Drosophila melanogaster: one gene and its partner. The protein of the gene in region 1 interacts with the protein of each later gene in a biochemical or structural test. Each region holds a gene or a part of one and is shown in the gene's direction. Other genes may lie near its edges.

Region 1 (5,213 bases):
TGGCACTTTCAATAATATTATTTCCTTTTCTCTTTTAGCGCATTCAACTGCTGTACCGACCGCCCGAGGAGGGAGAGGAACCGCGTCGTCCATCCGCTCGACAAACGGCGTCCCAAAGTCGTCGTAATGCTTTGGGCCAGACCACGGAGGGCGGCCAACACGATGCACAGAACGATGCTCCGCCAAAGTACACACCACCTCCGTCCTACACAACGGCCACTGGAGCCCGCCTTGCCAAGCTTCTGCGCCAGAGCATTCGCCGCAGCGTAAGAAGGTACATAAAAACCATCCCTTAATATAAACAAAAAGTTATTTACGACCAATTTATCGACACAGGGTTCTCGGAGACTCAAGTCGAACGCGACCCGTGCTCTCCCTCGATGCGGAGTCTGCTTCGCCAGCGGCGCCGCCTGATTACCTAACCATACTGACCAATCCGGCTGGCAGTAGTTTCAACGCGGATCCTTCGCCAGCTTCCAGCAGCAGTCCCGAGTCCATAGAGATCGACCAGCGACCCGTTGGCTACTCCCAACGCTCGCAATCGTTGGGCAGGAAACTGCATCGTTCGGGTGCTTCGACACTGGAGAGGCGGCCCTATACGGCGGAGGATGTGGTGACCATACTGCGCTCCTCGGTGCGACATCGCCAGTCGCAGGGAGGCGGAAATTTGGTCACTGCCAGCACCCTGCCTCGCCCCCCAACCGCCGCCATGTCCACGCACTTGGAGGACGCCTCATTCCGATCCATAGAGAATCTTGTGCTGAATGCCGAGCCACCGGACAGAACGCCCGGTGTGGAGCTGGAGCTCGAATTGGAGGCTGGACAGGCGGAGGAGTGCGCGCGAAATAATACATCTGTGATTTAACTGACTAATATCGTACCGTACATAGCGTAACTCTTATGCGATCCACATATCCGCTTGCTTTCTTAGACTTGATTAGCGCTAGTTATCTAAATACGAATATTACCTTGTAGTTATGCGAATAATAACGAAAACAACTAGTTGGTACTCCCAAGTGTGAGCTCTTTTGATCCCTACAACCGGTATTCCCAGTTCGATCCAACCCACCCCATTTAATTCCATTTCACATATATTTTAGGCTTACGGATCGCGCCTGTCTGCACAGTTGCCCTTAAAATTATCCCAACAATGGAGTAGGCCTCCTACGTGCCCAGCTCTCGAGGGTCAGCTATTTAAGGGAATACGTACTTGGGCCCTAAGCCGATTAACAAACGTGACCAGTTGAATAAAAAAAGTGAAAATAAACGGAAGTCCAGGATGGCGTAGCCAACAAAGGCGCCTAATGAGGCGGGCCAGGAAGTTGCTGCATATTTCGATTAAAATGTCACGCCATTTCTTTTGTTTTCTTTGTGACTTGCATATTCCAAAGGGATTGGCCTGCAAAAAAGTTAATCCGCGGAATTTTTAAATCAGCACGAATTGGCGGTTATTATTTTAATATCTGGCAGCGCTGGTTCAAAGAACCAGTTCAAATGGGTTGAGTCTCGGCTAGAACTTTTGTGAAGTTCACACAATAATTGATACCGTTATTTTTACTTATAATTAGTAATTTTAATGCTAGAAATACATAAATAACAATTGAGACCTATATAAAAGCAAGTGATAAGGGTTCTTATACAAGCCAATGTGTGTAGTACAACTACTCTATAATTTGGGATGATAGTTATAAAGTTTTAAATAAATATATATTTTCATGAAAATATTATCAACACTTTAATAATGAACGAGTTTTTGGACCCTTATTAACCATAATATTTGAAATTTAAGTTGGAACAAGAAACTTTTAAACTGTTGGCGAACGCGGTATTTTTTAGGCCCTTCTTGCCGGGTGAGGTTACTCCTGCATCTGGTAACACTGCTCGGCAGCGAAACAGAAACATAAAAAATTCGAACGGCGACGAGAGCGGTCAGACGCACGCATCACTTTCAATCGCGTCGCGTAGAGCGTCCAAAAAGAATTATAGTATAAACCAAGAGTGAAGATTCCGGTGAGCAAAGAATTTGCAATTGCCAAACTTAAGCAAAAACCATAAAGTGTGCATTGGCAATTGAAGTCGCGCGTTCTTAGCCAATCCACATTTGCACGGCCATTTTAAAGCCAAGTTAAGGCCAAAGTTTTCTGCCGCGCCGTCTTCGTAAGTCGCAGGTCGAAAAGTGCTCAAACGAGATTTCCACTTGAAATTCCTGAATTTCGTTTGTCTGCGCGAATCGCATCGAATCGAATTGAAGCACAAATCGCAGCAGCAGAAAAGCGCAAAAGTCGAATTTAAATTCCGTCTGCAAAGTGCCGAAAATTAGTGTCTTTGTTGTGTTAGTGTTTTGTTTCTTTGTCTGTGTGGGTGTTACGATTACGATTGGATTAGCGGTGTTTTCGCCTGATTAAAACGGTAAGTGTCCTTGCGATAATCCTGCGTGCAAAGTTAGTTAGCTGGTGCCAAGTTCGCTCGCCACTCACACACCTCCACCGCCGCCACTCACAACTTATTTTGCTGCAATTTGCTCTAGTGTTTTGTATTAGCATTTTTATGTCCCGCCTCGCCAAAGTTGACAAACAAAAACGTACACACACACACATACACGCACCGACACGTAAGCACACGCACACAAAGGATTTCATTACATTTTGGGTGGGACGTAACGGTAACGTTGAAGTGTAACGTATAACCCTCCCCTCGTTCTATCTCTTTCCCGCCCAAAGCCCCGAATGCTGTGCTACCGAATTTGTTTTCGCCTTCGCTCAGTTCTGTTTTCTCCTGTTTTTATTTATTTTGATGGCGTATTTTGCCATTCCGCTTTGTTCGTATTGCGTATCCTGTCGCCTGCGCTATCCTTCTACAGTCGCATCTGGCTAGAAGGAACTATCGTGTGCCTCAGTCACATGAAAAATATTACACTTACGTAGGTGATTTGATTTTTAAATGTATAAAGTCCCCTTCAAATTGCTAATTGAAAAATATATAAGTTCATGTACATAATCTTATTATGTCATCAATTAGAACCACAACATCTTTGGTTTCCCATTAGTATTTATAGTAACATTTTCTGAGCCCAGGGTATTCTGGTTTCACTGTACATTTTTCGCTGTCAGCTTTTCTTCCTAGTTTCTGCCAGCATTGAAATGAGTTCGCAATAAATATTGCCCAATGTCAAATAAAAGGGCGATGAGCCAGCCTTTTTCCGCCATGGCCCCTTTCCACCTCGGCCTATCTCCTCCATTCGCTCTAATCTCGGGGGACACTAATGCTTTACGACAATTCCTATGCCGTATGCCGCCCAGTACAAACTTAATGCACACATCAATGGCAAATTAGATATACTCCACAGCAAATGTACTAATAACAATCATCGAGTGCGTGTGCGGGCGGGCTTCCGATTCATCCCATACCATACCATACCATACGATACGATACCATCCCGAACCATTCCATCCCACACATACGTCCTCTCAAGACGATTGTTTTGTTGATTTGGCTGTTACTTCCAATACATTGGCATTTAAGGGGCAGAATTGGGATCCACTTATGTGCCTGCCTTATGTCTCATTTGTCGTCGGGCAAATGGAAATCGTTTTGTTTTTGCCTTGTCAAGTGACAAATTTTCATTGTCTCCCGCCACTAATCGCTTACTTAAAACAAAAAAAAAAACCAAAAAAATGAAGAAGATACCACGCCAAAGACTCCAAACAAGAAATAAGACAAGTGTAAATAAACACTTGAGGAGGAGGGAGCGTGGGATCGGGAGTCACGACTAACCGATATCCTCTGTACAGTGTGGGCGGGGGCATATACGCAATGACATTATCATAAAAGGTGCACATGCCAGAAGTTAAGTCGCGACAACTTTCCGTTATAACTTTCAATAACCTTTGTTGTTTGCTCCAATAAAAGCATTTTAATCGATACTCTTGACTTGTGTCAATCCATTCGGATTTGTTTTTGGTTACTAATGGATGTAATGTATGAAGTTATTGGGGCGGCATAAATTAAGAACTTATTTCCTTTGTGGATTTCACGTTACTAAACAGATGGTGATGTGACGCAAATGAAGTCCTAACAAAAGGATATTTATATATATGGTATTCTTTCGCCTAGCTATTTACCTGTATTTTCATATTTATAAAAATACTAAAAGGCCATTCATATTTTATATGGCGTGTGGTCTAATTACTTATTTTTATGACCTAGAGAAGCAAAGATTATAAATTAGCCGTTAAACATTCCTTTCCTCCATCGTACATACCTTTCGATACCCTGTAAATTCCAGTGTATGTACTTAGAGTACGCACACGTACTTGCCTCTTTTGGTGGCATTGCCCGCGGCACCTTCACTTGGCGCAGCTTGCCTTAATTTCCAGCGGACAAACCACTTTGTTATCGCCACGCCGAGGGCCCTTTAATCTCTGGTAGTCCCTGGTTGGCTGGTCAGACCCACCTCCATCTCCGTCGCCTGCCCATTGATTTACGTCTCTATTTTCCAAATGTAGCGCAATCGATTTAGATTGATTTTGTTTAAACAAACTGCACAGCGCAGCAGAAGCAGCAGCATAAAAGGCACCAGAAAGTGTAATAAATAATTGGAAACGGAATCGTTGGGCTGATTTTAATGCCAGCGTTAATTGCGAGAGCCACCCAATTTCATTTCCATTTCCATGCCCAATCGAAATCCAAATGCCATTCCCCAACCCTCCCCATACCTTCAACATTTTCATGCCGATGTAGCGATGCCCTAGGCCAATTCCAAATCCAAATCCAATTCCTATTCCTATTCCTATTCCATCGATGCTTTGGTAATTAGTTGTGAATTGGATTGGGGATCACATAAAAGTGTTGATTACACACTCCGATGGCTGCGCCCCCAGCCACGCCCCCTTCCCGGCTGGGTGCCAAGTGTTTTGTTTGTGTTTATCTCGTCTTCGACGTGTCTTTTTGGGTTTTTCAGAGGAATTAGGGTTAGCCGTGCGTAGTGAAAGTCGATGGGACTGCAGCAGGTGTTGGGTCCAGCAAATAAAGTTGGTCAGCAGGAAGCGTTCCAATTAATCGCATTTATCGCACGGAATTTCAACTACGCAGCCAATTAATTGGGGCAGTTTGAGATGCCAGATACTAAAGATACAGATACAGAAATTCCCACAGTTAAGCGACTGTAATTGAAATTGCACTTGGACAGACATTCAAATTATACAAATGCCTCT
Region 2 (4,695 bases), on another chromosome or scaffold:
TAATTTATCATTCAGTCAACGTTCTTCGATTGCAGTTTATCTTCGGAACTTACTTTACTGGGTCGCCAGTGTAATTTCCCACTCCCCCCGCATCTTTCCATTCTGTCTGTTCTCCGGTTCTCCCTTTTCCCACGAGTAAAAGCAGAGGAAAGTGTACTAGGGGAGCAGCAAGGATATTCCCTCGGAGTTGTTATTGTCCTGGCCGTAGAATGAATGGCAAATCAGGAAAATCTGACCCCCAGGTTGTTAGTTTTCTTGCAAGGATTTTTAAAGCCAATGGGAGCAAAATAGCAATTAACATGGATTTTGAAGCATCCACCTCGACCTCAGCCATCCATCCCTCGCCCTCCCTCCCCCTGCTTTTCCATTGAGTTCCTCCTGGTAATAATCGGAAATAATTGAAGAAAGAGAAAAACAGCGGGGAACGGCAAAAAGAGAATACTTACCGGACTGAAAAGCCGGGTAGCGGGGAATGGGTCACATCCTTTGAAGGATGTTTGTGTGTGCAATTTGTAGCGTTTTAATTGTTGTTTATGCGATCTAGAATGGGGGCGAAAGGAATGATGTGGTGGGGACTCCTAGGGCGCGGGGACCCAAATGCATCACCACCGCAAGCCACTGAGCTAATTTTGATTGCGGTGCCTGCAAACGACAGGAATCAGCAGGTGAAAGACGATGTCGGCTCCCGAGATCCTAATTAACTATGCCACTGATGTTTGGTTCGATTCAGCAGATTGCCCTCAAATGCGGGTTAGCAGCAAGTTGAAGTGCCTAATGCCCCGGGGGAAAACAAAGAACTCGAAGTCATGTGAATAAAGTCAGGGGATTGATGAATATGTAGAAGGATATGAAAGCTATCAAATTAAAGTAATACTTGAAATGATTAATTATTTTGATATTAGCAAAACAATAGGTTTCAATCATGACATTGATATCTGTAATCAGCATCTATTAGGAGTGTCATTACTGTGCAACTGGAATATATCTTATCTGCATCGGCATTTAACGGCTATTTCGAAATATTCAAACTTACTCGCTGCTTTTCTGGTTCTCATTCAGTGAATATATTTTACCATTCTCTCACAATGTTGTAAGCATTCAGAGAGCGAAGGAATTCCGGTTGAAACTCCGAAAATGTTGTTTATTCGGCCAGTGCGCAGACTCACCACTTTTGCCGGCAGGATTCAGCAACAAATGTTTATGCTCGCAACTGTGATGATAAACAAACCTGACTGAGACCAGAAACTACAATGTTGAGAAGCCATTTCAATATTATTTATTTGTTTTTGGAAATTTTAAAAACCCTATTGATATAAGATAAACACCAAACTACCATTAGAAGGCTGCCATTTTGTTATAAAATTTACTAGTATGATTGTACTTTACGGAAACACATAGCATTACAAACATTACAGAAAGCCTCTTATATGATGATACCTCCTTATCATACGGAATTCGATTACTTTTCGTTTTCCCGAGCTTTCCCCGCTGAAACAGCTGATTTGCCTGCAGGAATTTACTCCGAAATGTTGCTCTTCCGACTTCCCCAGTTCCCCGAGTTCCGAACTGGCCGAGCTGCTCCGAAGGCCGGAACTCACCACCCAGCGAACATTGCTGTGGACTGTTCCCGGTCTCCGGATCTGAAGGAACCCCATATCGAGTTGGCCGTGGGACGCCGTTCAGTTGAGTTTTGGTTACTGCCGCCAACGGTTATCGAGCTGAAAGTGAGCGCGTGTCGAGCTTTTTTGGTGCCCAGTTGTTTGGGCCAGCTTCGTGGGCGACTGGATTGGCAGCAAACATAAACAAACGAAGTGCGAAATTGCTCGGAAATCAGCTAATTGACACAACGGACATGCGAGGGCCAGACTTTGGCCAAATTTGGCCTGGCCAAAAAGGAAGCGGAAGTACTGCGGCCGCAAAATACATTGTAAACTGCTAAACTGCAGGGGAAGTGTAGCGAATAGTGTGCGAATGGAAGTCGAGTAAAAATCAAGCAACTCGAATAGATATATATATCTTTATATCCCTGCGGGAGTCGCTCCCCTGTGTCTGTGTGCCGGTGTGTATTTGTGTGTGTGTGTGCCAGGAGTTGGGCTGGGCAAATAAGTGCTCGTGCTCAGCTTTTTTAGCCAGTTTATCTTAAGGCGAAATACTGTAAAAAATTGTAAAATGGATTTACGTTTCGTATTCATCGTTTTCCTGCTCAAGTGGACCCATGCACAAGGTAAGCTCGAATAAAAATACACAACTGGTGCAAAAACCTATCCTGGTCATGGACTTCCTTCCTTCCGTCCATCAATCCATCCTATCCTCTCCTGCGTTTGCCTGGCATTCTCTGTTTGTGCAGCTGCCACAAGCTCTGGGTTCTGGGCTCCGAGTGGGTGGATATGGATGTGGATGAAAGGCGGAGACGGGTGCAATTCAAGTGCAATTCAGCCGGCCTGCAATTGCAAATATGCCATAGAAAATTGCTCAACAGAGACAGAAGTGCCAGCTCGTGAATGCACGACATTTGTATAGCTCTGCGATCCCGTAATGAGTTGCATTTAACTCATCCGACTCACTTGGCCGAGATGTTTTGGGAGCCGGGCATATTTATGATGATTGCCGACAGGTGTTGAATGGCTCGTCCAAAGGCTTGCCAGAATGTTGGTTGTCAGGCTTGGATTCACCTGAATGCTGGTTTATTGATACGTAGACTTGACTGGGAATCTGCATTCCGGAGACAGACTTGTCCCAGAAAGATACATAAATACTCGGCATTAGTAAATGGATAAAGTCCGTGCTGATAGCTGAAGAAGCCACCAAAGCAATTTACTAAGACTTAAAACTTTGAATCAAAATGAGCTAAGAATAGACTGAAATATAATTCGGTTATTATTGATAAATCAAATGTTGAATAACTAAGCTTGGTAACATTTCACACATAATATTCCAAGTAGTAGAGTTATTGTGGCAACACAATTTCCATTAAATCTACACTCTGAATTAATTCCCTTGCTCATCCTGCCTAATCGCTACCAAACTTTAGTTGCCAGATTAGCATATTTCCTGATTTGCATTTATTGGCCTAAACTGGCAGATAACTTAAGGCATTTCCCGAATCGTTCCATCCGCTCAAACATGCTTATGCGTAATGCATTGATTACTTCCTCCCGAAAACTTTTGCCAACTATAATTTATAACTCTTGCTTATCTCACCAATAAGTTGTAGCCATCAAATGGGAATTCGTATGAGCAAAACTTTTGTGCCAGACGCAAAACAATTTCCGCTGCTTTCAGCCCAACAAATTAGTGGAAAATGTTCTGCCAAGAAACGAGAAACAAGCCGGGGATTCCCCTCGGGCTGGCTAACTAAGCGAAATGAGTATGAATTCGAGTCGTGGCTCTGAATACAAGTGAGTACTCAGGGGCATGGCTCAAGCGGCATGTTTTTGTTGCATAAAATATGCGCATTTAACAAGGGGCTTCCCACACTTTGCCCCAAAAAGCAAACATATAAATGTGGGCCCACAAAAAAGCATTTCTGCCCGGCCACAAATGATACAAAAGATTATTCATATTTTTCGGAGGTAGCACATATACGAGTATGTATGTATGTACATATGTACATATGTGTGTGTGCGGCCATGTTGCCGCTGTTCAATTTGCGTTTTTTACGCTTGGATCTCCTTTTTTGGTTAAGGGCATTTTTATTATGTAGTTCATGCATGTAAACGAATTCAATTGAATAATATCCTGTCATTTTGTTGTTACATCCTCTTCGGGCTTTCCATTATCCCCCCCCCCCCCCGAAATTCTTTTCCCGGCTGCTCCCCTCGTTTGGCATGTCAAAATTTTTATCAGCGCACAAAATCCGCCAATGCAGGATGAAGGATATGGTGGAGTAAATAAATAAATCCCGACAACACGCGTGTCCTTGTATCGCCGTCCTGCTCGCGCAGATCCTCTCGCCCGCTCCCACGCTACTCTCGAAAGTATGCAATAAATTTCGAACAAAAAATATATTGGCATTTTAGTGGGTTGGCTGCCTTCTGCTCGTGTGCGGTGTATCCAATAAAAGAAAATTAAATACTTTCAGCGAAAGATTCTTCTTTTGGGTAAATTAATCGTACCTCTGTATTCTGTCGGAGTTTCAGATTTTTTCGCGTACCCAAATATGGATTACAATTCACTAAGTGCCTTTAATTCGAGCTTTATTTATAAATATAAATACAATATTTTCCCATATCTGTTACAGCTTTTGGCCCAATTCGAATGCCAGTTTCGCAAAACGGCTCCCAGTCGTGTGCCATAATTTTCGTTTCCCAACTTTGCCCAAGTTTGCTTAATTTATAAATTATGCATTATGTAGACTGCGTTACCAGGCAATTATCATTTTCCCGGGAAATTGCTGGGTCGCTTGTTTTGCTCCTGGTCTCTCGCCCAAGAAAGTAGGCTACGCAAAATTAATTTCTGCTGTATGTTTTTGCCTGTGTGCTTGGCTCGGCTCGGCTCGGCTCTTCATGTGCGTGTGCTTATTTATTTGGCTGGGATTCGAGAAAGGACTCGGATCGGTTGTCTTGTATTTGGCCCTCGTGCCTGGCGGCTACCGAAAGCAAAGGGCAAAAACACAGGGCCATCCGCACGGCGAAGTAGGAAAAAGTTTGGCAGACCGGAATATTAATGAGTATTTAACCTAAATTGTTGCTGCCT

Evidence for each region. Proteins that work in one complex are often made in the same cells at the same time.
Region 2: the proteins of sli (region 1) and robo3 form a complex in vitro, tested with the Drosophila melanogaster proteins (one study listed by BioGRID).

The regions. Positions count from the first base shown.
Region 1 is NT_033778.4:15,918,835-15,924,047, reverse strand, and holds the start of sli (slit), read left to right. Parts: upstream 1-1,929; 5' UTR 1,930-2,409; intron 2,410-5,213. Other genes in the region: bdg (bedraggled), read left to right, coding at 39-274, 337-865.
Region 2 is NT_033779.5:1,254,722-1,259,416, forward strand, and holds the start of robo3 (roundabout 3), read left to right. Parts: upstream 1-1,695; 5' UTR 1,696-2,169; coding exon 2,170-2,224; intron 2,225-4,695.